Pelodiscus sinensis: one gene and its partners. The protein of the gene in region 1 interacts with the protein of each later gene in a pairwise test. Links are inferred from orthologs where the notes say so. Each region holds a gene or a part of one and is shown in the gene's direction. Other genes may lie near its edges. The genes, in order: TRIP10, ARHGAP12, ARHGAP17 and ABL2.

Region 1 (7,177 bases):
GGAGGGCTGACAATGGCCGAGCCCCTGGGCACGGTAGGTGTGCGTGTGTGACGGCATGTTCCTAGAAGGGGCGGGGCTTGGGCGGAAGGGGCGGGGCTTGGATGGAAGGGGTGGGGTTTGGGGTAGTTGGCTCTTAGCACTACTTGGAGTGCACCTTGTTCCCCAGCCTCCTGCCAGGCCTCAGAGCTGCCCAGAGCATGCCACGTGGTGCTCTGGCGGCGATTTAAAGGGGCCAGGACTCTGGCTGCCATGGCCCCCTCATTGGTGGGGGCTGCAAAGCCTGGGGGAGGTGGGCGGGGAAGGAGGATGGACTAAGAAGAAGGGTAGCCTAGTGGGTAAGTCACTGGGGTGAGAGAGACCAGGCGTCAGTTATTGGCTCTGCTGCCTACTGCGTGACCGTGGGCAAGTCACGTCATGGCTCCATGCCTCAGTTTCCCAGCTGTAAGATAAGGGCTCTTCCTTTGGGCCCTTTTGAGCAGCTCTTTAGAGCAGGCACTTTCCCGCTAGGTGTGCTCACAGCGGGGCCTTGATCGAAGCCAGGTGCTACTGTTATGTACTACTAAGAGGTAGTCTGCCTGAGGAAATTGACCGGCTTAGCTAATCTGGATAACCGTCCCATGTGGACGCAATTCTTTCGGAAGAGCAGGAACTCAGAACATCCACAGCCAACCTCATTCTGGGGTAACTCCCCTGTGCAGCTGAGTCCTACCCAATAGCGTGTTGGCACAGGATAGTTTGGGGCAGCTCCCTTCCCGCCGGTCTGTGCTTTGGGGGACCCTGTGGCAGTCCTATGGATGGGCCTGGCACAGGGTGGCAGCAGGAGTCACTGCCCCCTCGCCAGAGCAGCCCAGCAGCCTCCTCTGCCCCACCCCGCCACCCTCCCCTCGCCCGCTGCGCTTGGCTTTTCTGAGGCAGCAGGAAGCAGAAGGCCCCAACCTCAGCGTACTTGACTCCTCGCCGCTGCTGAGAAGCGAGGCGCAGTGGGGCGGCAGGACGATGTGGTGGCAGGGTGGGGTGGAGCAGTGGGAATGCCCTAGGCTACCCCCCACCTCCCCGGACGGCCCTCCAGGTTTGTGCTGGAAGCTGGGGTCGCCCGGCAGGGTGGTGTGCCAGTCCGGAGCCAGGTCATGGCACCAACGCTCTCCCACGCTGGGCTGCAAACCCGTCCAGCCAGGCCACTTGCCAGAGGCTCGTACCAGTGCTGGGTCGCGCCCTCCCCTCCCTCCCCCTCCGGGCTAATAGCAATTTTGCTCTGGCTACGCCGGCACAGCTGGCATCAGGGCTACTCCCTGAGGTGGCCAAAGTAGGGATGTTAAATTTAAATTAATCAACTAGTCGAAGTCTATCGACTATTCGATTGGTAGATAAGAGCGCCTCTGCCTTTGAACTGTAGGAAGAGCCTCTTGCTACAGTTCGAAAGCCCCGCGCTCTCTGCCACTCCTGAGCCTTTGAAATATACATTTCAAAAGTCGAATTGCGGCAGAACCGGCACGCGGAGACTGCAAAGGGAACCATCATTGTGATTCTCCCACCTGCTTCTTTCAGGGCTGCTTTGGGCTGCCTGAGGGCCATAAGAGACCCAGTGTAAACCAGGCTCTGGCCCTGCCATGAGGCGTTTCCCCAAATGATGATGGGAGAGGAGGAAGCTGGGGTCACTTCAGGTGGCTGCAGTCTGAATGAGCAATTAGAGCAACTCCTGCAGGTCTCAGCTTCCAGGTTCCAGCCAGGCAGGATCAGGTTTCAAGCAACTTTTAGATTTTATTTTTAGTGTTGTGCGATGCTGCTTTTGCATTGGCTTCTCCAAATCTTGGTGGACCCCAGTTGTGCCTGCCTGCTCAAACGTCTCTCTGATCCCCTGGCTCTGAGTTTGTCTGCTCAGAAACGTTTGAAGTTTGACATGTCGCAATGTTTCTCTCCCCCCCCCCCCCTCCCCCTTTTGGCTTCTTGCTTTCAGTTCTTAAATCTTCTGTACACAAGATCAGTCCCGTCCTGAAGTCTGGGCTGTCTTATCTCTGGTCAGAAATCTTGAAAGTCATTTACAGGGAGTGGTAAAGGAACCTTTTTGGCTGTCTTTTAATATTAGTCAGTGGTGCTTGGATGAGGGTTCTCAAAGTGAAACGGATAACTCTGAAGGGAAGCAGAAATCAGTAGCGGTCGGAGGAGGGGAAAGACCGAGAATTGGGCCCATGGGCGAGTGTGGTTTTATTCAACGAGTCCGACTCAAGAGTTCTGTCCTCCAGCTGTGTTGTAGTCTTGCAGCATGATCTTGGGCGAGTCATTTAATCTTTCCAGCACCTGTACAACAACGTGAGCTTCGAGACGTCATAAGTGACTAAACCCGAATCTCTGACTTAAAATCCAGTTTCTTACAGCTCTGGTTTGCATTCACTCAGCCTGCAGATTGAAGCTGGGTTAGTCAATTTCACTGCTGTTACTAGTCTGTTTCACTTCCTGGTGAGCAGTGCCTGCTGGGCACTTATATGCATTGGTTGCAGACAATGCATGGAAAGAACTCTTTTCCACACACACTCACACACGGTCACAAAAGTTCCCTCTAATCTGTTCCATCCATGTGCGGATTTTTTTTCCCATTCAGGTGTGGAATAATTTTTTTCATGTGCTCTGGGGCACCATCAGTAGAAACAAAAACTTTGCTGCTGACATGCTGCTGGGCAGCCTTTGATTCTCTCCTGAGCAGTTACACAAGCTGTCAGGGAACAATGGTCACAAAACCATTTAATTTCTGCTAAATTGCCGTGAAATCTTTAAACGTAGTTAGCAATGTTGGATCTCCACAGCTTAGATGTTTCCCTTTGTAAGGGAGGTCTTGAAAGGGGTCAGATGGCAAGCCAATCATTGGAAGGGTGCCACCCCCCATTACACACAGCTGACCTGTGGAACTCCTTGCTATAAGATAATTAGCTACAACCTCAGCAGGATTTTTAAAAGGTATGGATGAAAGCATCCTGGCTTATAATAAAACAAAAAGCAACCCCCCAAAATGTAGGCAGGGCCATGAATCCTTCTGCCTTAGGATGGCTATAAACTCTTCAGAGAGCAGGGTAACGTGGAGTCTGCCTTGGGCGTCACTCCCTCTCCCCTTCTCATCCGCACACAGTCCTCTCGCCCGAGTGTGAGGGTGCTGTCACCCCAGGCTTGCTGGCTTGCCTGATGGCACCTCTTTCACTTGGGCTAGATTGCAGCAGTGCAGTGTGACACAGGCTAAAAATCACACCAGTGCTGCAGGTCTGAAGGTGCTGCCCCACAATTCCCCTCTGTGCCCTGGAGGACAGATGGATTTTCCCTTCTTTTTGCTGGGGGGGGGAAATCCTGGAGCATGCTGCAGAGACAATGGGGCGCGCCCCCAGGTGAAAGCAGTAATGGTGACTCATTGCTGTCGGGCTGTTCGCGCCTGCCCTGGCTGCTCCGCTCCTGATGCTGATCGCTCTGCATTGAAGACACCCCCTTAATCTTGGGGCCAGGCTCTTCTTGGCCAGTCGCTAGGCTCCCCATACCTGAGGGGTTTCTTGTGTCTCCCTCTAACGCATCGAGTGCTGCTGCAGAGACCGGGGTTTAGGGTTCGACCGATTGTTGCTTTTATCCAGCCTGGTGATTCCGATCTTCTTTTCCTCAAAGAGGCCATTGCAAATGTTAACCCAACCATCTCCTCGTCCAGGTGCTCGCTCGCTCCTCCCTCCTGTTTACTGTGGTTGTGCAATCAGTTGGGGGGGGCGTGTGTGTGTGTGTGTAAAGAATCTCTCTTCCCATTGCTGTGTAAGACACCTGCAGGGGAAAACTGGTGAAACTAACCAGAGTCGAGCTGAAAACAGGCCACCGGGTTTATTGCATATACCCGAGAGCCTGGTCTTTTTTTTCCTCATTGATTTGTATCATAGTAGCATTTGGAGATGAGAACCCCTAGCAGGCTTCTGCCGGCAGAGCTGTGTCCGCCCAGGCTGTGATCCGTGGCCAACAGCTAGGCTGGCAGAAGCCCCAAGTGTGGGTGCAGCTATTTTGGGAAAACTGGCACAGCTTGTTTCACGCGGGGTGGATCCAAGGCTGATATTGCTGCATCCACAGGAGCAGGGCTCTGCTTGTGAGGCGTGCCAATTTCCTAGTGTAGCTACTGCCTAAGAGAGCTCCAAACAGCTTCCATGCTAAGTCAAAAGGGAAGGGAGACTGAGGCCTGGTCAGAAGATGCCAAGGTCAGAGGCAAGCCTGGGTATTAGGAATGTAAAATCCTGGTCAATCAGTAAACCTAAGGTTTAACTGGTTCACTGACTAAGCAAGATCCGGGCAGGGGACTGCACCCAGCATGTGGGGCTCCTACCCCCAGCGCCTGTGCTGGGGCTTGCTGCCGGCTCCCGGCCCCTGTCCGCAGCAAGCTGGAGGCTGCTCCAGACCCCACTGGTTACTGGAACAGGTAAGCCTCCCCCTTTCCACATCCTTCCTGGGAATAGAACCCAGGAGTCCTGACTCTCTCATCTTATCTACCTGACCCATGTTGCCTTGGAACTAAACCTCTCTTCCCAGCTCCATCTGTCCTTCCCCAAGGGCAGACGGACCCTCTCCCCCTCCAGTCCAAGGTGCACACCCTCCAAGCGTGGGACGTTTCTCCATCCTCCCCTCCACCCTGCCATGGTGCCCCAAGGCCTGCGCTCCTTGGCCACCCGGTGCTAGGCAGAGGCAGAGGTTTGTGGCTCCATAGAGCGGTGTCAATGGCTGTAACGCAACAGCGGGAAGCGAATTGTCCCCAGCGTGAGCCGCCAAAACTCTGGCACGGCGGGGAGCTGATCTATAAGGACCCGAAGGAGCGGTGGCTTTCCAGACCTGAGCTGCCCTCCAGCCAGATGAATGGGGCGTCTTGGGGAACCCCTCAGTGGCTTCTGCTCTAATGAACCAGTCCCCTCCTTGTAAGGGCCGTTCCCACCTGGGGGAAACTTCCCCGTCTTGGAGCAGAGCCGTGGAGGCCTTGTCGGCAGTGGGGATTTGCCCCACTTCTACGGCCCTTGGTGTCCAGGCCCTCGTAAAGCTGCACCAAGCAAGGGGTTGGTATCCGGATTCTCAGTGCTTTGGGGCAGGGTCTGTCTCTCGCTGTGCCGGGCGCTGCACAGACACAATGGGGCCCTGGCCTCTGTTGTTCCTTAGACACTATTGTAAGAAATATGATGAGCCCCCCCGCCCCCAATCAAATTCAGGGTCCTTTCATATTTGATGCTGCAGAAACAGTCACCTAGGAGCTCACAATCGGACAGAGGGCAGGAGAGGAAACTGAGGCACCAAGAAGGGAAGTGAATTGGCAAGCAGCATGTCAGTAGTCGAGTTGAGAACAGAATCTGTCTCCTGACTCCTAATCCAGTGCCATAACCACTAGGCCCCACTGCTGGTAGACCACGTAAGCTGTCCTAAACTGAGCTTTGCAGCACTTCACTTCGGTCAAAAATCTGCTTTGCCTGTGTGCGCAGATGCCACGTGCATGTCGGTCTCCCTAGGCGGAAAAGGGCTTTTGGGGCGGGAACTCCTCAAAGCTTCAGCACCTGCTGCTTCCGGGGAGACAGTAAAAACGAGGCTGCCCATGTAATCGCCCGGCTTGGAGCTGCAGAAAAAATGTGGCAGCCAGGTCCCTTTAAAGAGCCCTCCTGGTGCAGTAATAGGATGTGTGTTCAGCGCCCCTAATCTCATTATTGGGCTTTAACTGTTGTTTAACCTTGGTGTGCTGATTTTTTAAGTGGCAGCCTTAAGGTGCTGCATGGCCTCCCGCCCCTGGGTAACAGCCATTAAAAGGGCTTTGGGATGGGAGGAGGAGAGATGGGGTGTCCTGTCTGAAGCAGCATTAAAAATAGCACCAGGCTTAGCAGTGCTGCATCATTCTCAAATGACGCCCCCTCCCCTCTGACACTGTTCTTGGCTGCACGGGGGAGAGAAAACGGTCATGAAAATCCCCAGCCAAAATCCCACCTCTGGATGATTTAAACCCTGACTCCTTGTTCCTTTCTCTGCAGATGAGCTGGGGGATTTCCCTGCTTGTTTTAAAATCCCCTGCAGGACGGCTTTTGGCTGCTCACCCCTGGTTAGCGCTTCCCTGGGAGACTGTGTTAGCGGGATTGGGGGAGGTAGCGGCCCCCTGACATTGACACACAGAGCCGTAGCCCCAAAATCCACTGCAGTGAGGGGTGTCAATCTGATGATGCTTTGTGTGGGGACACAAGTCATAATTCCTCTTCTTCCCCCCCCCCCCAGCAGTTGTAAAATCAACACTAAAATTAGCATCTCGCAAGCCACTTAACTTCTTTACATGATCCAGCTTGTCACAGTCAGAGGGGTGCTAACGTTTATATAGAAACCCCCCACTTTGTCTTGTCTCTTTCTCCACTCCAGAGTTCCCTAGGCTCCCAGGGTTCCAAGTGGTCCCTTATTTTCCCAGGAAAGGAACCAACTCTCTTTCCCACTCAAGTAGCCTGTGGAACTCATGGCCACAAGCTTTCACAGAAGCCAGATGCATAGGAGAGGAGAGTTTTAGAAAGCTTGTTCTGGAGATAACTGTTGGGTTTAGGTGCAAGCTTTCCATGGGGGCGAGTTGTCCCCTCGCTCAGGGGTAAGGCTGTGCTTCTGTCAGGTCTGGTTGCAGGGTGTCTAGCTGGAGCGAGTTTTAATCCAGCGGGGGTACGATGTATGGTGCAGCTGTGACTGCACGTGCTCAGCTGCTTCAGTGCAAACTTCTCAGGGAACCTCTGTATAGACCAGGGATGTAAGTGACTAGTTGGCTGTCTGATAACCTAGGCTTATTGGGTAGTCGAGTCATTACTCAACTAGTCGCTCCCCCCTTGCTGCCTCGGTATCAGAGGCAGCAAGGGGGGGAGGAGCAGGCTTAGAATGGGGGAAATGGCATGAGCCAGGCGGCTCTTACCATATTTAAAAAGCAGAGCCACAGCGAACCCCCTTATCGACTACATAAGGATATAAGAATGGCCAGACTGGGTAAAACCAAAGGTCCATCTAGCCCAATATCCTGTGTGCCAACAGTGGCCAATGCCAGGTACCCCAGAGAGGGAACACAACTGGTAATCCTCACGTGATCCCTCCCCTGTCACTCATTTCCAGAGAAACAAAGGTTAGGGACACCATCCCTACCCATCCTGGCTAATAGATGATCCATGAATCTATCTAGCTCTTTTTT
Region 2 (7,216 bases), on another chromosome or scaffold:
GAGGAAAAAGAACTGAGGAGAGTTTGCACTTTTTCAAAGGGACGTTATTAAGGGCCCAAAAGCAAGCTATTCTGCTGTGTAGGAAAAGTAGAAAGTATGACAAAAGACCACCTTAGCTTAATCAGGGGATCTGGCATGATCTCTGAATCAAAAAGAAGTCGTATTAAAAGTGAAAACGAGGACAAATTACAAAGGATGAGTATGCAGGGGAAGATTAGAAAGGCAAAGGCACAAAATGAGCTCAAACTAGCTAGAAACACGAAGGGTAACAAGAAGACATTCTATAAATATATTAGCAGCAAGAGGAAGACCAAGGACAGAGTAGGCCCATTGCTCAGTGAAGAGGGAGAAACAATTACAGGAAACTTGGAAATGGCAGAGATGAGTTCTTTGTTTAATGACTTCTTTGTTTCGGTCTTCACCAAGAAGTCTGATGATGAAGAAATACCTAATATAGTGAATGCTAGCAGGAAGGGGGTAGGTTTAGAAGATAAAATAAAAAAAGAACATGTTAAATATTACTTAGAAAAGTTAGTCTGCAAGTCACCAAAGTCTGATGAAATGCATACTAGAATACTCAAGGAGCTGATAGAGGAGGTAGCTGAGCCTTTAGCTATCATCTTTGAAAAATCATGGAAGATGGGAGAGATTCCACAAGATTGGAAAATGGCAAATATAGTGCCCATCTATAAAAGGGGAAATAAGAACTCCCCAGGAAACTACAGACCAGTCAGTTTAACTTCTGTGCCAGGAAAGATAATGGAGCAAGTAATTAAGAAAATCATCTGCAAACATCTTTTGGAAGAAAATAAGTTGCTAGGTAACAGGCAGCATGGATTTGTAAAGAACAAATCATGTCAAACCAATCTGATAGTTTTCTTTGATAAGATAACAAGTGTTGTGGATAAGGGAGAAGCGGTGGATGTGGTAAGGCATTTGATACTGTCTTGCATGATCTTCTAATCAATAAATTAGACAAATACAACTTAGATGGGGCTACTATAAGGTGGATGCATAACTGTCTGGATAACTGTTCTCAGAGAGTAGTTATGCCCTTCCAGCATGTTTGTGAACCATTAATAACAAGTGGGGTTCCGCAGGGGTCTGTTTTGGGACTGATTGGCATAGAGAGTATGCTTATTAAGTTTGCAGATGATACCAAGCAGGGAGGTGTTGCAACTACTTTGGAGGATAGGGTCATAATTCAAAATGATCTGGACAAACTGGAGAAATAGTCTGAGGTAAATAGGATAAAGTTTAAGAAGGACAAATGCAAAGTACTTCACTTAGGAAGGAACAATCAGTTTCTCATATACAAAATGGGAAGCGACTGTCCAGGAAGGAGTACTGTAGAAAGGCATCTAGAGGTCATAGTGGACCACAAGCTAAATGAGTCAACAGTGTGATACTGTCCCCCCCCCCAAAAGAAAAAATGATTATGGAATGCTTTAACAGGAGTGTTGTGAGCAACACTCTGCGCTACGCTAGAGAGGTTGTGGAATCTCCATCTCTGGAGATATCGAAGAGCAGGTTAGACAGACATCTATCAGGGATGGTGTAGGTCATTGTTTCTGAAAGTGTTCTGTGGAATCACTTTGTGAAACACATTAACTGGCCACCCCCATTTGTTATTCACCAGCACCGCAGCCATGGAGCCTCATGGCTCCCATTGGCGTCATTTCGTCCTTTGTAGCGAAGAGGAGCTGTGGGAAGCAGCGTGGGTCGGGCCACATCTTCCCACTGCTCTGCTTGGCTGCAAAGAGCGAAACAGAGCCCATGGGAGCCGTGAGGCTCCGTGGCTGCGGTGCCAGTAAATAAACAAATCGGGGTGGCCAGTTAATGTTTCTCAAAATGATTCCATGGAACACTTTCAGAAACACTGGTCTAGATGGTGCTATCTAGACTAGTACATTGTTCTAACATATTTTTGGCCCCATGCACACTGGGGGAATATCTATGCAGCAGCAATGAGCGTATTCCATAAGCCCTAGCTCTGTTCTAGTTAGGACAGTAAATACAGCAGTGTGGCTATAGTGGTGTTGGCAGTTGCTTGGGCTAGCCACCCCAGTACAAACCTGCATGATTGTATAGTTTGGAAAGGTCAGAGGGGTCGTTGCCTGCCCAAATAGCAAACCTTGGCAAAAAGCAGAATTTGTCCCTTCCTACATGGCCCTGGTGGTCTGATTAGAGCTGCCTGTCTTCTCCCCCTCATGCCCCCCCGCAACACACACATAAGTCAAATCATGCTTATGCCCAGACTCATGGTATGTCTACACTATGGAGTTATTTTTCAGAAAAACAGCCGTTTTTTAAAAAAAAAACTTCAATTACATCCACATTGCAATTGCGTTCTTTTGAAAGAAAATCAAAAGAACAGAGTTTTCTCCAACATTGGTAAACCTCTTTCTATGAGGAAGAAGCCTTTTTCCGAAAGAGCTCTTTTGGATAAAGGTATGTGTGGACGGGGAAGAGGGAGTTCTTTTGCAAGAAGAGGAAAGAGGAAAAAACACAGATGCCCTGGTGGCCATTCCACCCATAGTAATCACAGCTTACATGCGAGATAGCATCCAGACTGAATGGACACTATCTTTCGAAAAAGATCACTTTTTCGATGAGCTTTGGCAGTGCAGATGCTCTCTTTCAGAAGAAGTTTTTTCAGAAGATCTCTTCCGGAAAAACTTTTTCCGAAAGAAGCTTGCCATCTAGATATAGCCTCACTGAGTACATGCTGAGCCAGGAATCCAGTTGTGTTAGAATCCCATTTAGCTATAATCCAGTGGTGGACAACCTGCAGACCAGAAGCTGAACGTAGCCCATGTTGATTCTATGCATGGCCCACAAGACATTTTGTTTACCGTTGTCCACACACAGGGTTGTCCAATTCCACTGGCTTCTGTCTGTGTAGTTTTTTTTCCCCTACTGGTATTACTAAAGTGACACACTCATAAAAGGCATGTGAAGCAAGGTGTATGCTGACCGCACACAACATTTACTGAGAGAGCCATTCACTCTCTTGGCATCCAACCAAAGTGCTGCTATAGTTCAACTAGCACACCCAGCAAAATTCAAGTGCAGTTAGCAAAATTATCCTATCCCCGGAGACTGTATTGGTTATGACAATCTTGCAGTCCACTGAAGTGAAGGAGGCTCACTCACTAGCCTAAGTTGCTTATCACTACTATAATCAAATTCAAATTGTGTTTAAGTAAAATTTAAATTCATTTGTTTAACCAGTAAAGATAGAGTATGAATTTCATTTGCTTTCAGAGTTGCAAAGTCTGGACAACATACATGGCTATAATAGAGAAGAGAACAAAGAAAACTGTTCAGCAACACAAAGGATCAGAGAAGTAGACTTCAGTGAGGGCTTAAATTCCTAAAGAGTAAAAAAGATTTTATAAATATATTTAGAAAGCTAAGCTAGATTTGCAAATATTTATTCTCCTATGGCAACTTCTATGTCCAAAATTTACAACACAATTCAAATTCTTCCCATGAACTTTTGCAGCCTTGCCAGAAGTTAAGGGAGAGGAATTAACAATAAAAAGAACAACATAAATGGAATCAAGTCCTTTCTTTGTATACTTTCTTATTATAATTATTCCAGTTATGCCTCTTCTGCTCTCCCTTTATTAGATTTTTTTACTCACATCTGTTGCATCATTTTCTAAGTTAGACTTCAAGCTCTTCACAGGCTTTTGTGAAACATCCAGCACATTTCTGGGTGCTCATACAAATAATATTATTATTTAAGTCGGGTTAATTTAAAATTCTTTGACTTCTGTAGATTTTTATGAGTAATAAGGATTTAACCTACATTGTGATGTTTGTGAGTTCTGTAGCCTGTGGCAGTTCTCATTAAAGTTAAAATTAGCAGTGAAACAGAGGAAAAAAAATCTAAAATAAGATGCTTAACAATGCGTATCAGAATAAATAAGAGAGTAAGTCTTAGTAATCAAGCTCACAAAGCTTAGTGATTAAATTGACAAATTCTTAAAACACATGGGGGTGAAGTGACTAAAGTTGTTATAGCCACATGACGTTGTGTATGGAAAAAATAACCCCTCACGTCTATGTAGCATATGATAAAAATAGACCCATCTCCCCTTCCCACGCTGCTTCTCTCCGGCCTCCCTTCCCACAGAGCTCCTCTGTGACGTGCTCCCTCCTCTCCCCCCCACCCGCAGCTGCCTCAGCTCTGCTCCTCCCCCCATCTCCCTTCCCCACACAGCTTCTCCCTCTCCCCGTAGCCCCCTCCCCCCCAGGTGCCTCCTCCCTGGCCCGTCACCGCGCTTTCCCCCGTCCCTCCCCCGGCACGTGACGAGGGAGCGCTGACATTGCGCGAGCGCGAGGCGGAGACGGCGGCAGTGGTTGGCGGTGGCGGCGGCTGTGGCCGCGCTGAGGCGGGAGCGGACCCGGCGGCTACCCGGGTAAGGTGGCTGTAAGCAGGGGCCCAAGGCCTGGCGCCGGCCGGGGGGGCGGGCAGTGAAGGGGGCGGGGTCTCGGCGGGTGACCCTGTTGGCTCGCGGGAGGCTGCTGCTTCTGCCGCCGCCGCCGCCAGGGTCGCCCCCAAGCTGGCTGGGCCGGGAGGGGGTCTTGGCTGGTGCCCCGAGTCCCTTCCTGGAAGGAGCCTGAGTCCCTTTTGCCCTCCTCCCCCCCGCCGAGGGCGGGAGTCCTAGGGGAAGTTTCTTCCTGGCCCCTGGCAGGGGCTGGCTTGTGCCCGGAAGCGAGGAGGCTTGTGCTCGTCCTGCTCTGTATCCAGGGGCTGCTTCACCCCCGCTGGCCTGTTCGTACTCACCATAACTCCTGGGGTTGGCTGGGATGGGGGCGACAGTGGCACTGCTACCCCTGCCTTCTCTGTGCTCAGGGGCGCTGGAGCAGGTTTTATAGTTGGGGGTGCTGCGAGCCATTGAACCAAACTGTAAATCTGTATAATGGAAACCCCTTCAAGTCGGGGGGCTGGAGCCCCTGCCGCCCACCCGTGCTTCCAGTACCAATGCCTGTCCTGATAAGCAGGCTGCATAGCCCTGGGTATAAAGTTGACTGAGAACGACTTTCTCTCTTGTGTTGGAAATATGAAGTGGGGTGGGTGACTTTTTTGTTGTTGTTGTTGGTTGGTCATTGCACAGACTGCATGTTCGGTTTGTTTTTCAAAACCTTTGTGTATGTATATACTGCAGATGTGCCTGCTCACAAATTAGTTAACGGAGCTATGAATATGTCCTGTAATTTTGTTTTACCTGTTAAAATGAATCCTAAGGTTCAGATCAAAACTGCTTCAGTGCTAGTTGAGATGGTAGCCATTACTGTATTTCTCAGATGTCCATTTTGAATGTGGACTCTAACACACCCTAAAATGCTTAGAATGATTGTTTGTATAATTTAATCACTGTGTACAGACACAGATTTGCTCAGCTATTTATTGCTGGTCATTCTAATCAACAATATAACAATAGTGCATAGTGAAAGGCAAGGGGCTGCCTGCTTTAACATATACAGTTGGTGAAAAGTGGCTTTTAAAAGTTGCTTTGACAATGATTTAAAATATATCATGTATTCAGAAGTCTCTAAGATGAGCCAATAGACAGTTATCAGGAAATTATATTTTACTTATGCTTTTAATTTTTAAGCAAATATAAACATTTAGGGCAGACGGGCTCATTCTGCTTGGAAACTGCATTTGTCTCTTAATACTGATGATGGTTATGTTGGAGGAAGGGGTAAAGGTTTAAACCTTTTATTAATGGTCCTGAAAGTCCCTAATGTTCATGTGTGCTATTTGTGTTATATATATATATATGTTTGCTTGACATGATTTTACCTACAATTCTGCACAAATAACTGATGCTTGTTGTCAAGCAAAACTGTTCTGATGAAACTTCAGTATGTGAAATTCATTTCTAACAGCGCAGATGTGAGAGAAATTGTCTTCTAGAAAGTATGGACTTGAGGTACTCTCTGATGACATTAAAAAAAAGTAGCTCTTTGATATTGTAGAAATTTCTTCAAATTTTACTCCAAACTTGAATACTTATAAATTTGGAATATATTGTTGGCTTCTTTGTTGTTCTCCTTAGTCACTGAATGTACTGAAAAGCTTGAAAGAATGATTAGCTAACTTTTTTATTTTTGATCTTGAAAAATAAGAAAGTGTCTCAGAAAAATTTGAATAAAAGGTTAAATAACAAGAATTTCACAATGGTTTAAGTTTGTCCCCAAATAAGTATATCTTGGAACCATATTCAAGAAATGCTGTTGTAGCAAATGTTTTTGAGAAGTTGCAAGGACACACTTAAGGGGGGAAAAAACTACTATGTGGAGACAATTGAGTAAATTTTTTGTTTCATCTGGCATTCTGTTGGTAAGAATTTAGGACAAATGTTCTCAAATACAGTTTCTATGACTGACTGACTGGTTTGTGCTGCAACACTGTTAAAGTATTTGCTGTAGCTGTAGGGACTGATTCTTTTAATGAAATATGTATTGCAGAGGTGGTACAAGAACCAAACCATTGTTTTTGTGTGGCTCACATAAACAGTGGCTATTGTTTGCTTTTAGTTTTTAGTGGTTCAGTTAACCTTTTTGAGAAGTGAAATGTTTGAACTTCAGCTTTTTGTAAATTTAAAATGTCATACTAGTCTCTTAAAAATATTCTTAAAAGTCAAAGTAATTGTAAAACCATTTCTGATATTCTTCAAACACCCCTTGGAAAGGAGTCCAGTTTGTAGCTTAGAAATGCAGTGAATTGCTATGACAGCAGCCTGGCAGTCACAGGGGAAATCTTTGTTCTTTGTGCAGAGTAGTGCTGATATTTGAAGATGGGAAGTACTGTGAAATCTGGGGAAATAGCTGAGCTGCAGTACTTACTTGAGGCTTATCTGAAAGTTACACAGATTTTAACTAAAGGTGTAACTTAAAATTAGTTTAAACTCATGCTAGTCTGTAGTAGGAATGTTAAAATGTATGTAATTGGCTAACTGTAACTGCTGAAAATGGTTTTATGTGAGGTGGCTGCCAGCTCCCTGGCAGCTGATGTGATGCCAGAAGCCTGCTCTGGTGTGCACTGGATCCTGCACACACCCCCTCTCCGTGGGAAGCTGGCTGCTGCCTTGCACTGTATCAGAGGCAGCAGTGCGAGGAGGCATGTGGGAGCTGATATGCATGGGGATTCTGGCATCCAGGATCAGACTGCCACCCTGCACTGCTGCTTCTGTAT
Region 3 (7,465 bases), on another chromosome or scaffold:
AAAATTGGTCATGAATTATTTCATGAGTTTCACAACAAGGACAAAATCTTACAGAGAATTCAAGATGTGCCATTATCAATAAAACCAGTTAATGACAGAGCTGTGAAATTGGCCCATCAAATCAACAAGGAACAAATGCAAAATTTCAATACAGCAACTTATTTTTCATTTGCTTTGGACAAGACCATCAATAGATGTGATGTTAATTGGTTGTGTATTTTGGGATGATATATTAATGGAAATTCTGTGTACAAAGAAATTATTGAGATATTACCAATATTACCAGTGATGAACATTATAAACGAGAAAGAAATACAATTGGATAAGCTTGTGTCTGCGTGTACAGCCGGTGCACTTCGCATGGTCAGCAAATACAGGAGATTCCTTACTCTTTTGTCAGAACATCTGAATCGCCCACTTTAGAACTTTCATTGTATTGTGCAGCAAGAGGCACTTTGTGTGCAATCTTGTGGAATTGAACTCGGAAATGTAATGGGACTGGTCATTTGCATTGTCAATTGGATTCTTGCCCAAGCCCTGAATGACTGTCAAATTCAGTCACTGCTCAAGGAAATAGATTCCAAATACCCCAATCTATTAATGCACAATGCTCACTGGTTAATCATTAATGCAAAGTTTTGTCTCATTTTGCCACCTGCATTAAGGAGATTAAGTCATTTTTGGATATGAAGGGTGTCAAACACACTGAGCTTTCAGACAGTGACTGGTTGCTCAGGTTTTATTATCTCGTCAACGTTACCAGTAATTTGAATGAGTTGAACTTTAAACTAGAAGGGCAAGGAAATACAATCATGACTCTGCAATAGCTAGTGTTTGGATATGAGTCAAAATTGACTGTCTTCATCAAAGATATCGAGACGGGCAGATTGGCACATTTTGAAAGATTATGAATGTTTTGTGATTCGTATGAGAGAAAGAATCCAAATCACAGCCTTGATTTGCAGCAGCTTGCCAGCTTTGTTCTGAGCTCCTGATGGCATTCAAGACTTGTTTTGTTGACTTTTGCAAACACAGTGCTCTGTTTAAGTTTATGAGTTGTCCATATAAAGTGTCTGTTGAAGAACTAGATTTGATAGTCATTTCAGGCATCTCAATCAGAGATTTGGAAATGAAAATAGCAGATTCTGAGGAATTGGATATCTGGGTGGAAAAAAATCACCAAGCTGAATTGTGATTTAGAATGCCTTGCTCAACAACGTGCAGAATTGACAAAAATGAGCTGACACAAAGAAATTGGAGCACAATGATGATCTGATTCTACATACTTGGAAATAACTTCCTGTCACATACTACACCATGCAGAATGTCAGCTTGGCCTTACTTTCAATGCTTGGCTCCACTTATATGTGTGAGCATACTTTCTCTAGTTTGAATCACATCAAAAGTAATTTCTGTTCAATATTGACAGAAGACAGTCTGAATGTGTGCAAGAAGCTGAATTTGACCTGTTATGACATAAACTTCAAAGAAATGCGTGAAAAGATGCAGCAGCAGAAGTCCCATTAAATAAAGTCCTTGAGTACAATGTTTCTTTTATGCTATTATTAATCATCATGTAAATAATTAGTATTATTAAGTTGTATATTTTCAGTCATGCAAATTGGCATTTTTATACGGCTCTTTGACCACTTGTTCTGAATGTTGATGTAGTTTGGCACTTTGGCATGAAAAGATTGCCGACCCCTGCTTCAGGGAAACCACCAGCAGGAAAGTCCTGTCCCTGCAGGCTGAGGTTACCAGCATGCTGCAGCATAGACACAGTAACTTGTGGGTCTTTCAGACTGAATACTCTTTGGAGCAATATCTATCCTTTTCAATATGTCTGTAGCATATCTCGCACAGGGGAGTGTGACCTGGAAGGCCTACAGACACTACCACAATATACAAATTAAATAATAATGTTTAATAAATAGGACTGACCAGCTTCATCCTCCAGAAGCCAGCTCACAAGAGAGGAAAAATCAGTTTTCTCAAATTGTTTTCAATTTTGCAAACTTTTAGTCATCAGCATGGCCGGATACATTCCAGAGCTGATCCCACTAAAGCTTTTATGTTCCAGAATCCTTTTTACGGCATGGTTCTCACACAGTACACAAGTAGTTTCCACTGATTACGAGTGACTGTGCTGGGAATCTATCTGCATTGCACATCACTGGGATTTCTTTGTTTCCTGCAGGGGGATAATGCAGTCTCTAAGGGTGTGTCTAGACTACATGGCTCCGTCGATGGAACCATGTAGATGAGTTTACTAGACATAGCAAAATGAAGCAGCAATTTAAATAATCGCTGCTTCATTTACATCAAAATGGCTGCCATGCTGTGCCGATCAGCTGATTGTCGGCACAGCACGGTAGTCTAGACGGGTATCAGCCGACCCCAGAACCCTTTGTCGTCAGATCCTTTATGCCTCGTCAGATCCTTTATGCCTCGCTTCATTTTGCTATGTCTAGCAAGCTCATCTACACGGCTCCGTCAAGGGAGCCATGTAGTCTAGACACACCCTAAATTTAAAAAAAACTACCTACCTGTTCACAATTCACTTTATATTTGGGAAGCAAAAGTAAATAAGACACTAGGATGGGAATCAGGAGACTAGGTTCACTCCAGTATTGCTCCTGACCTGCAGGGTAACCTTGAGCAACCCACTTCCCACTCTTTCTCTTTGAGGTCCCCCCCCACCCTGACACCAGTTTTCCCAGGGATGGAGCAGACAGTGATATTAGGAAGGCAGGATAAGGGATGTCCTGAAGGTAGGGAGGTGGGATGAGATCTGGAGTGGCCTAGTGGACAGGGCACTCGCTTTTGTGTTTCTTTGTTAGATTTTCTAAACCCTTCAGGGACTCTCTTACTAAAATAACCAGTAGAATGGTGCCCTGGTCTCAGGTGGTGCCTCTAAACACTACTATAACACTAATAATAATACTAATGTCACCTAAGAGAACACTGGTTTTGTGGCTAAACGACAGGATGGCTTGGAGAACAAGCAGTATTTATGGGTATATTTCTGGTTGTGGGTCTTGCTGTCTGCCCTGATCTGTAAAGTGGAGATATTCACTTGCTTCATAGGATTTCATCAATGTCTGTTGAACACCTGAAATGTTTTTGAGAGCCATAGAGGAATACTGCTGTAAAAGCAGGTTATTACAACAGATTTCTATTTACTTTTCTATTTTTTAATACAGATTCTTACCAAAAGATGACACAGGAAAGGAACCCACTATGCAGTAAGTTGTGATATTGATGTTTCATAGTAGCTCGCAGGCTTCCCTCTGAGTCAGTACTAAAGCGAATGCATTTGGTTTGTTAAAGCAAATACTGAAGAGAGTGGTGCAAAATTAGGGGGTAAAATAAGCTGGTAAATACTTGTTTAAAGTATAATAAAGATTGTACTTCTGGCAGATCTTGAGCCCTAGTGTCCTGGGCAAACTCCAACAGAGATGAGTAATCACGTTTGGCCTCACTGAATTCTACCTAGGCATAGGACACAATCACTTTCTGCCATAAGCATTACTGCACCCTGCTAAAAGCTACTACTTAACCTTGCCAACAGTCCCTTAGTACATGGAATGTCCATTATTTTTTTGTGATTGCTGCAAAAAGCAGCAAACAATGCCCTTGTTATGAAGAACATAAGAATGGCTATTCTGGATCAGAATAAAGGTCCATCTTGCCCAGTGTTCCCTGTAAGCTGAGCGGTTGGGAGGCCACCGAGGATTCAAATGCTGTCCAGCTGATTAGCAGAGCACCCACGCCGGCTTCATGGGTTGTGCACATGCACACGTGCCTCAGTGCACATAAAATGTATTCCGCACATGAAAGGAGGGAGTCGGGAGGGAACATTGCTGTCCCAGGGCCCTGCCTTCCCACAGCGGCTAATCCCGTGGTTCTCGACTCGTTTCAGTCCACGGACCACCAGGCCAATCCAAACATTCCCGTGGGCGACCTCCGGCCCCGGAGCACCGGACGAACGACGCGGCAACCGCCCCGCACCAGGCGCCGCAGACGGACGCTCGGCGACACGAGGCGGCTGCATCCGCGGGACGCTCCCGCCCCAGCGCCCCGGGGCCCAGCCTGGGGACCACAGAGCGCCCCACTGACCCCTCCCAGGAAGGGGAGCTGGAGCCATTCCTGGGGGCAGGCCCCATGGCGGGGGGGGGAGTGGCCCCCCCCCCCCCCCGTCTGTCAGGGGCTGGGACTAGGCCACAGGGGAGGGGTCACGTGAGGATTCCCTCTGGGGCACGTGGCGTTAGCTGCGCCCCTCCCCCATCACTGCCCAGCCCGCAGACCCCACCACGTGACCTCCCGCCAGTTCCGCGTCTCAGAGCCCGGATGTTGTTGTCCCCCCCCCCCCACTCGCCGCAAGCGAGCCTCTCCCGTGACGCGAGCACCCACGTGACCCGCGCCAGCCGGGGAAGGCGGAGCCGGAAGTGGCGGTGACTTCCGGCGGGGGGGGAGGCCGGCTGGGGTGCGAGCTGAGCGCGGCGCTCCGGGCTCGCGCTGCCGCTGGAGCAGGGAGGCGCCGGGCGCGGCCGCAGCGGGTCCCCCGGAGGCGGAGACCGGAGCCGCCGCCATGAAGAAGCAGTTCAACCGCATGCGGCTGCTGGCCAACCAGACCGTGGGCAGGTACGAGCCGCGGGGGGGTCCGCCCCCTGCCCCGCGAGGTGAGGGGGGGGGCTGGCGGGGTCCGCCCCCTGCCCCGTGAGGTGAGGGGGGGGGCTGGCGGGGTCCGCCCCCTGCCCCGTGAGGTGAGGGGGGGGGCTGGCGGGGTCCGCCCCCTGCCCCGCGAGGTGAGGGGGGGGGGGGCTGGCGGGGTCCGCCCCCTGCCCCGCGAGGTGAGGGGGGGGGGGCTGGCGGGGTCCGCCCCCTGCCCCGCGAGGTGAGGGGGGGGGGGCTGGCGGGGTCCGCCCCCTGCCCCGCGAGGTGAGGGGGGGGGGGGCTGGCGGGGTCCGCCCCCTGCCCCGCGAGGTGAGGGGGGGGGGGCTGGCGGGGTCCGCCCCCCGCCCCGCGAGGTGAGGGGGGGGGCTGGCGGGGTCCGCCCCCCGCCCCGCGAGGTGAGGGGGGGGGCTGGCGGGGTCCGCCCCCCGCCCCGCGAGGTGAGGGGGGGGGCTGGCGGGGTCCGCCCCCCGCCCCGCGAGGTGAGGGGGGGGCTGGCGGGGTCCGCCCCCTGCCCCGCGAGGTGAGGGGGGGGGGCGGCTGTTAGAACTTGGCCTGGTGAAATGTATGGAAGAGGACAGATCCACAAAGCAACTACACCAGACAGCTCCCCTCCACTTCATGGACAGGCTGTGTCTGTTTCCTTGTAAGGACAGTGTTTTGTGAGGTTGCACTACTCTAGTAACTTCAGGAACTTCGTTTCTTCTGGCCACCACTTAAGACTTTTATCTGCTGCTTTCCAAATCAATAAAGATTGACTCTCTCTAGTCTGGAGATCCTCGGGATCTGACCAGTGCTGAGCCAGAGGATTTGCTGAACCATGGGAGGCCAGTATAGTCCGGCAGCATTACCGACCCTTCCACTGCTTGATAGGGTCTTAGAAGACGTTTAGGGGTAAATTAGAGCTAAAGAACAGTACCGAACGCCAAGTTTGGGGGCTGTAAAAAACTTTGAGACTTACTTTAGGAAACTTGGCCAAAGCTGTGATAAATGGCCACCCAGCTAACTAAAATCATGCTGGACCATGGATGTTGCTGGACTAGAGAGAGTCAATCTGTCTACCATTATCCTCCTATGTCAATACAGAAAGTGGCTTTGGAAATGCTACTTCATGAAATTAGGCATGTAAAAATCCTGATATTTATGTTACTCTGTATCATGTTATCGAGGACTTTCACATATAGAGTGTCACTTCAGGGATTTGTGCGATTGTTTATATTTGTTAGCCAAAGCAGAAAAATGTGCAGAAGATCAAATATTTCCTTCATGTAATTAAATGTTGACATCTCTAGTGTGTTGTGAGTTTAAAACTTGTGTAAAATGTTGCTTCTCATATGTGTTTGGCCTATCAATATATTGCTTTTCAGTAATATAATTTGAACAAGAAAGCAAAAACTTTTAATCTGTTGAAGGTATGTTATACTGATGCAAAAAGGCAAGGACTGTTTTACCACTTGGATTGGCTGTAACTGTGGCAGTACAGTTCTTTGATTTGTAAGTTGGGCTACACAAAGTTCCTACAAAATGATTTGCATTGTACACTTCCTGTTCATATTTTAACTTTCTCACTTCCATTTCCTATAATTTTGCTAAATTTTATTTATAATCTCTCTGTAGTAATTCTAAGATTGATATTTTTCAGCAAAACTCAGATTGCATAAATAAGGGGTAGTCTTTGGCAGAGAAGTCAGGCCTTTGTAGCAACCAAAGTGCCACTAACTTAGGCTATGTCTACACTGGCGGGTTGTTGCACCTAAAGTATGCACATGAGGCTAAGCGTGGAATATCACCAAGCCTCATTTGCATACCTAATGAGCCGCCATTTTGCGGAAGAGGCTCTTGCTCTAGAAGGAGCTGTCTACGCTGCCCCTTCTTGCACAAGAAAAACCCTCTTGTGCAATGCCATTATTCCTGAAAATAATCAGCATAGGGGCATTGTGCAAGAGGGTTTTTCTTGCGCAAGAAGGGGCAGTGTAGACAGCTCCTTCTAGCGTAAGAGCCTCTTCCGCAAAATGGCGGTTCATTGGGTATACAAATGAGGCTCAGCGATATTCCATACTTAGCCTCATTTGCATACTTTTGGCGTAACAACCCGTCAGTGTAGACATAGCTTTAGAGTTTTGTTTTGTTGTCTCAGATCTTTTGGAAGGTCTTGGGCCTAGTTGCTGCTTATTGTAAAGCAATATTCATGTACTTAAGCATAATTTGGTGTCATCTGTACATACTGAAATGTGATTTAGGGTTCTTCTAAAATATATTTGTAGTGTTTAGAGTAAATTATGTCTTGTTTGAATTGTGGGGGGGGTTTGGAGCTAAAAGTTTGGTCTGGAATAAGGTTCAACTTTTGTTTGCACTCTCAGTAACCTGTAAGAGATGTGTGCTCTCTTGGCAATCCACTTCTACATGAAACAAATAAGAAATGTCAACTAATGATGGCTTGAGGGGGAGACAGTGATAGCTGGTACTTATCTCAAGATTTTGTTTTAATAAATTATTTCAAACCCCTTCCATGCTCTTGCTTTCCTGCCCCAATCTTCATCTTACATCTCATCTTAAGGTATTTGCTCTTTGGGGGTAGACATCATATCTAGTGTTTGTACAGTTAATAGAAAAATGTAGGCATGTAAAATCAGTTACATGTTATCTTTAACCAGTTAACCGCTTGGGTGGGAGGGAAGTTGCTCTGGCCAGGCTGGAGCTGCCTCCTCTCCCACAAGAGGCTGGCTGGACAGGAGTGCCCTCGCCCACAGTGTTGCAGGTGGCCAGTGAACCAGCCACATCCCTAGAACAG
Region 4 (7,011 bases), on another chromosome or scaffold:
TGGGAACACCATGATAAAGTGGCAGAAAAATAATTATAATTTAAGAATACTTATTCATATTCTCATTCTGGCTCTACTAGATTATTAAGAAGCTAATTGCCTCATCAACCCAGCACTTGCTACCCAAGTTACAGTGATACTATTAAGAAGCTAATTAGGCACAATATATTGCATGGTTTTCAAGTATTATATACATTTTATCTATCTATCTATCTATCTATCTATCTATCTATCTATCTATCTATCTATCTATCTATCTATAATAAAATAGTAAACACTTTGAAAATATATTAAATGGGCTGTTATCATCTCGATCTGACTCCATCTCAGTAAGAGGTTTCTGTGCTGTGGCTCCACGTCTTGTGGCATCAGCATATTACTTAACACAAGCTAGTTATGCAAAGATATCCTGTGATGTCATGAGATCTAAGGAATAAAAATTCTGTTTTAAACAAATAATGCTGGATACCCTTCTGGACCCCTCCTCCTCCAGAAATAAATCTCTCTCAACATTGGCATATTCTTTTAAAATACTAATAAACGTCCTTTGGAAAGTGCTCTGAGATCTATGAATGAGAGGCAGTAGGAAAGCTGTTATTGCTACTAATTTTAAAGTGGGGTTCTACTCTGAAATGTGACTCTGTAAATGTCAGTGTGGAGTTTTAATTTTTTTGACTTGCAACAATTCTCATAGCAAATGTGTTCAGTTTACAATTAAAAGATTTTTTTTAACTACCAGCCCTGCACATAGAAGATCTGAAAATAAACTTGATCTTTTTTCCCTTGTCACATGTGCCATCACCAATAAAAGATTCCACAGGCCAACAAATACCTGGACTGTCCTATTATCTTCAAATTCTGACCTCTTTTCTACCTGTGCAACCCTTTGGAAGCCAGAGTCAGTGACTGGATGTTGGTAAATAGAATCCAGCTCACTCGGTTATCTGTGTTGTCTCTTCATGCAAATTGAAGTAAAACATACATGTTATAATCTATATATCTATATATATCTTATTACTTTAGGCATATGTTTATCTCCCTCTGTATATAAAAAAAGTTTTTCCTGCCGTGCAACTGAATTACATCATCAGCCTACTTGAAAGTGAAGTCTCAGCGTCTCGCTTACTTCTGCTTCAACCAGAACCAACTGTGAAACTGAGATCTGTCTGTACATCTGTCTATAACATTTAGTATGTGAGCAATAGACCAATTAAGTTTTTCTATACATCTTCATTTGTTCACTTCTATATAATCAGTGCAAGTTTAATAGGCTCTCTGGAGTTGGCGAGCATAGCAAACATGGGGCACAGCCCCTCCCGTGTGTGTGTATAAAGCATATTCCAAAGGTTATAAGATTCATCTCCAGTAAACACACAAATAGGACCAGTTTGTTAAGTTAGAAAGTGCTTACATAGTCACTTTTTAAAATACCTGTACAACCACCTTTTAAGAAGCAAGAAGCACTGAAATAACATTTTAGGCAAAGATAAAATGAATTATTTTGCATCTTCATTTCAAAATTGCTCACTTCCAAATAGGAATGGGCTAAACTGATCTGAAAGATATTCAGATCTTTCCAGTGTAAGAGGTCCCAGACTTTTAAGTGATATAATTTAATTTTGAATTTGTTCTAAGTGAATCATAGAAACTATGACTGTAAGTTTAATATGAATAATAATTAACTGTGTCTTAATTTAGTGTAGATAGTCATATTTAGCTCTACTCAAGTTTCTTCTCTTGTGCCTATCAACATGGCATCTGGGTACTTTCCAGAAGTTGAAGTGATGTAATTAGCATCTCTCATGTGTGAATCTCTTTTCCTCCCTTCCCTGCTCCCCAGGAGGAAAATTGTGAGAATTATTTTTAAAAATGTTTTTCATTTATGTTTTGTAAATATTTAAGTGTGCCTACACTTGGAATGGAAAGTGCTGAAATTTTAAGTCATTCTTAGGTTTTACAGTGGTTCATTGCACAATCTTCAACCAGCCTCTAAGAAAATGCTTTCTCTTACATAAATGAGCTTTCCCCTTGTGCCTCCCATCCTGCCAGCTTTAGCCAAATGAAAAATAAAGGGGAACAGCAAAATTTGAAACAAAACCCCTCTTTCACAGTAGTCACTCCCTCTCCTCCTTTTGTGGGCTTTCCATATCTATTAGTTTCCATACTTTCAAATGCTTACAGTTTGTAACTGGAACATTACTTAATATATTTATGTAACCGCAACGCTTGTTGAAAATTTGTCCATTATATGCCTCAGTATAATTTTGTGCTTAATGTTAAGATGTCTGTTTTTATTAGTGATTATTTCTGTTAAGGTCATGATAGAAATGTAGCCGTGTTAGTCTGGGGTAGCTGAAGCAAAATGCAGGACAATGTAGCACTTTAAAGACTAACAAGATGGTTTATTAGATGATGAGCTTTCATGGGCCAGACCCACTTCCTGGGTCTGGCCCACGAAAGCTCATCATCTAATAAACCATCTTGTTAGTCTTTAAAGTGCTACATTGTCCTGCATTTTGCTTCTGTTAAGGTCATGGTGGGGAAATCACATTTAATTTCTCATATAATCAGGGTACGCTTTCTGGGTCAAACATATGCCAATTTGGAATTTTTAGACCTTTTGGGATATAATAAGTATTTGCATGACTACTAATGAAAATTACATTAAAATTGACCAAATGTTGAAAGGAAATGAAAAAGTAGAAGAGGACCCCCCCTTTGAGAGTGTAAGGGTATGTACATATTCTACAGCAGTATAACTGCGATCATGCCACTATAGTGTAGACACTTACTACAGTGATGGGCAGGGCTTTTCATTGCTTCTAAATAAATCCACTCCCTCAGAGGAGGTAGCTAGGATGAGGGAAGAATTCTTCTGTTGACCTAGCTGCATCTACAGTTGGGATTAGATTGACCTAACAGCATCACACAGAATATGACATTTCTCACAGCCCTGAGCGATGGAGCTAGCTTGACCTTCACTGTAGGTTTAGCCCAGGCCTAATATTATGAAATGATCCTATGGCATGCATGGTGAGCAGTATTTCATGTATCTCAGTCAGATTTCTACAGAACAAGGGAAGGGCTTGTGTTCACAAAGAGCATTTATGGGACAGGAGAGAAACAGGGTAGTGCTGTGGGGATAAATAACAGTAGGTAGTGGAGAACACCGAGCTGTCAAGCAGACAGTGGGGGATAGTCAGGATGACACTGTAGGTGGAGAATGGGTGGAAAGGCAAGAGGGGGGGATGGAAAAGGGGGTTAATTTAATCGGTGTGGGCTGGGGGTTCAGGGGACCCAGAGGAGGATGGCAGGGGATGGGCAGGTCGTTACTAGGCAGTCAGGGGATAGTGCAGGGTGGGAAAAGGGTTGGCAGGGGAAAGGAGAGATGGGGTGTCAGGGAGGAGGCGGGAGGGGTGTGTGGTTGCTGGGTGATGTCAGGGCAGAGGTAGGTGGGCTGGGCGTTGCTAGGTGACGTAGGGAGGGGCAGAGGTGTCAAGGAGGGGGCAGCGGAGGCTGGGTGATGTCAGGGCGGGGTCGGGCGTTGCTAGGTGACGTAGGGAGGGGCAGAGGTGTCAAGGAGGGGGCAGCGGAGGCTGGGTGATGTCAGGGCGGGGTCGGGCGTTGCTAGGCGACGTAGGGAGGGGCAGGGGTGTCAAGGAGGCGGCAGAGGAGGCTGGGTGATGTCAGGGCGGGGTCGAGCGTTGCTAGGCGACGTAGGGAGGGGCAGGGGTGTCAAGGAGGGGACAGAGGAGGCTGGGTGATGTCAGGGCGGGGCCGGGCGTTGCTAGGCGACATAGGGTGGGTAAGGGTGTCAAGGAGGGGGCAGAGGAGGCTGGGTGATGTCAGGGCGGGGCCGGGCGTTGCTAGGCGACGTAGGGCGGGGCAGGGGTGTCAAGGAGGGGGCAGAGGCGGCTGGGTGATGTCAGGGCGGGGCGGGGGGTGGAGCTGGCGGTGGCAGGACACCCTTGGAGGACCGGAGGTGGGTCTCTAGGAGCCGCTCTGTCCCCTCTCCCGCAGCTCTGTGGTTAAGATGGCGGCGGGGGCTGAGGGGGCGAGTCCGTGAGTCCCAGGCCGGAGCGCGGCGGGCTGGGGCGGGCAGCCCTGTGGGGAGCCCCGGGCCGCGGGCGCAGGAGGCCACCGGCAGCGGAGGCGGCATGTGAGTGAGGGCTGGCGGGGGCCCAGGACGGCAGCGCGGGGATGGGCCAGCAGGTGGGCCGCGTCGGGGAGCCGGGAGCCGGGCTCCAGCAGCAGCCGCCGCCGCCTCAGCAGCCCCGGGGAGCGCGGGGGAGCAGCGCGCCCAGGCCCGCGGGCCGCAAGCGGGAGGCGGCCGGGCGCGCGGCGGAGAGCGGCTTCAATATCTTCACCCAGCACGGTAAGGAGGGCGGGGGCAGCCGCTGGGCACGGGGCGCCCCGGGGGACCGCCGGGGCAGGGTTTGCCGGGGAAACGAGAGGAGGGGCCGGGGGGAAGGCACCGCGGCTGCGGAGGGACAGTCGGGGGCAGCCGCACCCCGCCCCTCCCCCATCGCTGCCTGCGAGGGCACGTGTGGGGGGCAGCCCCATGCACCCCCTTTCCCCATCGCTGCCTGCGGTGGCGTGCGGCCTGTGGGGGGAGGGGACTGGCGCGGCTCCCCGAACGGTTTCTGCCAGAGCGGGGATGGGGAGGCACGTAGGGTCGGGGTGGAGGGTACATCCAGGGCTCTATGTGCCTGCACAATCAGATTCCCTGGAAGGCGAGCGATGAGAGGATGCTTCCCTTCTGAAGTCCACCACCTACAAAGCTCTTATTGCTACAGAAACTTCCACCCATTTGCCTAGCTGCTGTGTCAGAGGGCAGTGATTTTTTTTTTGCTGTTTCCTTATCGGTAAGGAGGTGGCTTATGGAGACAAATATGAATAAAAAATAGACACAGAGCGAAGTACGCTATCTACCTTTGCAACACCTCTGTGAACTTCTTTGGGATGAGCCCCACATAGTCAGACCTTTGTCTGTTCCAGGGGATAAGTACTGAACACGTTTCTGACTTAGTCTTGCCCTTTATTGCTGACATGGCTTTCTCATTACTAAGGATCTATGGAGCAGGCTGTTTTGTTCTTGGCATGGCTGTAATAGTCGGTACATCAGCTGACTTAGCGAAGTCCAAATTTGCCCCCTCCTTTCACTTTACAGTAATAAAAATACTGACTATGAAAGTGAGGTTACAGGGGGGGAAAAAAGATCCTCTTAAAAAGCCAACCGTCTCAAATACTGTACCTTTATAATTTTTCTGTGCCTTTTTTGTCCATTATAATACACTGGAAGGTTGAAAAATATGGTAAACAAAGTAAGAGTGCAAGGAGCTGAAGTGTAATGGTGGTGCTTTTTGTTGTTGTTTTAATTTGAAGACCTGAATTTGCTACTGAGAGCATTATCGATTTTTATTTCAGCTAAAGCAATCATGTTCCAGTGTTCATGTGGCAAAACTGCTTCTGACAACTTAGCTCTTTCTGAGCCCAACAGAGAGTGCATATGCATTAAGATACTGGACTGCTGCTGGTTACATGTTTTTAATGTAAAGTCATCCCCTATGACAGCTGACTTGCACAGCTTAGTAAATCAGTGATACCTACCACGTGGCAGAGACAGTGTGTAACCTTCAATATAAATTCACTTTCTAAATATACATCATGTATTGATAAGATTCTAAACAGTTTATGAACTTCAGGACATTGTCAACTTAAAAAAAAAAAAAGTAGCTTCTTTCCACAAGTCTGCTGCTGTTGCTGAAGGTTAAATTCAATAAAAAAGATTAGAGAGGAAAATATTCAGTTGGATCTTGTATTGACCCAGTGCCAGTGTATAGTCAGTTTCACTATTTCCTCTGTACAGTTAATTAGTTTTCCTTATTTGCGTGGGTCTTTCACACACCATCAAAAGAGAAATTATTAAAAGTAGGAAAATTACTGCAAACCCTGAAATTGACAGGGAGACTTGGGGGCAGGTGTAGTTAAAAATACCAATGCTTCAATTTCATGCTGAAACCAAAAATCTTTATTTCCCTGGTAGAGCTGTTATGAAAGACTGATGTCACAGTCTAAGTTATCCCTTTAATAACAAAGTACCTCTCCTTGGTGTTTTGGTAGCAAAGAAGGATAGTGATAACTTTGTAAAGTATAAGAGGCAGTGCTGGTCATAGAAAGCAAATTCACAGGAAGTACAGTATATTATACTAGATAACTAGAAGATTACCCAGTGCCAGTGTTGCTGGGGTCTTTAACTCAATTAATTTTGTTCAGCTAAATCTGGGGTGGGGCTGGGAATGGGGGGTTCAGGCTGCATTAGGGGGAGTGGACAGCCCTCTCACTGCAGCAGTGTGGAGCCAGGTGAGAAGTGCCTGTCCATGGCCACTTCAGCTGGGGGAGGTCCAGGTCTGCCCCCTGTGCTCCCCAGACACATTGAGGAATGCAACAAACTGTGCACTTCTCCCTGGCTCCCAATGAAGGAGAACATCCAGTAACGTTCCTGTATGAATGGGGGGATCCCAGCAGGGAGCTGGGCACCCAGGCTGCTGGATTCAATGCGAGTTGGGACCAAGCAGTCCCAGCTCGCTGCTCCTCTGCATTTTAAATGTCGTGACTTTTATTACATTTAAAATGCAGAGCAGCAGCATGGGTGGCTTTGCAGCTGGCTGCTGGAGCTACCTCTGCTGCGGTTCTGCACAGTAGCGCTTATTCACTAATCTTATAGTTGATACAAATTGTATTGACTATACGATTAGCCAGATAATTGTGTTTTAACGTCCTTAGTATATTGCATTAGGAACTAAAGGCCATACCTAAGTTTACGGTCCTGTTGTGCTAGGTTACATACACTGAGTAAAAGAGTTCATGCCCCAGAAAACTTGCCTGAACTGCCAGAAGGGGGAGAAAGGAAAGAGATCTTTCTGCTGTTGTGGAGTTGAGCCACAAGTTATGTCCCCTGTCACTCCTCTGCCCAGCATCAGTTCCTGCTCTCCCAGGCTCTGACACTGA

The links.
Region 2: the proteins of TRIP10 (region 1) and ARHGAP12 interact in binary tests that used the Homo sapiens proteins (3 or more experiments, as listed by UniProt). The two-hybrid records come from large-scale screens. The link is inferred for Pelodiscus sinensis from reciprocal best matches to the Homo sapiens genes TRIP10 and ARHGAP12.
Region 3: the proteins of TRIP10 (region 1) and ARHGAP17 interact in binary tests that used the Homo sapiens proteins (3 or more experiments, as listed by UniProt). The link is inferred for Pelodiscus sinensis from reciprocal best matches to the Homo sapiens genes TRIP10 and ARHGAP17.
Region 4: the proteins of TRIP10 (region 1) and ABL2 interact in binary tests that used the Homo sapiens proteins (3 or more experiments, as listed by UniProt). The link is inferred for Pelodiscus sinensis from reciprocal best matches to the Homo sapiens genes TRIP10 and ABL2.

What each region holds. Positions count from the first base shown.
Region 1 is NC_134729.1:11,915,747-11,922,923, reverse strand, and holds the start of TRIP10 (cdc42-interacting protein 4), read left to right. Parts: upstream 1-4,155; 5' UTR 4,156-4,315; coding exon 4,316-4,423; intron 4,424-7,177. UniProt on the Homo sapiens protein: Required for translocation of GLUT4 to the plasma membrane in response to insulin signaling. Required to coordinate membrane tubulation with reorganization of the actin cytoskeleton during endocytosis.
Region 2 is NC_134712.1:229,556,157-229,563,372, reverse strand, and holds the start of ARHGAP12 (rho GTPase-activating protein 12), read left to right. Parts: upstream 1-4,209; 5' UTR 4,210-4,430; intron 4,431-7,216. UniProt on the Homo sapiens protein: GTPase activator for the Rho-type GTPases by converting them to an inactive GDP-bound state.
Region 3 is NC_134726.1:38,940,701-38,948,165, reverse strand, and holds the start of ARHGAP17 (rho GTPase-activating protein 17), read left to right. Parts: upstream 1-4,444; 5' UTR 4,445-4,591; coding exon 4,592-4,644; intron 4,645-7,465. UniProt on the Homo sapiens protein: Rho GTPase-activating protein involved in the maintenance of tight junction by regulating the activity of CDC42, thereby playing a central role in apical polarity of epithelial cells.
Region 4 is NC_134719.1:59,804,131-59,811,141, forward strand, and holds the start of ABL2 (tyrosine-protein kinase ABL2), read left to right. Parts: upstream 1-4,007; 5' UTR 4,008-4,200; coding exon 4,201-4,375; intron 4,376-7,011. UniProt on the Homo sapiens protein: Non-receptor tyrosine-protein kinase that plays an ABL1-overlapping role in key processes linked to cell growth and survival such as cytoskeleton remodeling in response to extracellular stimuli, cell motility and adhesion and receptor endocytosis.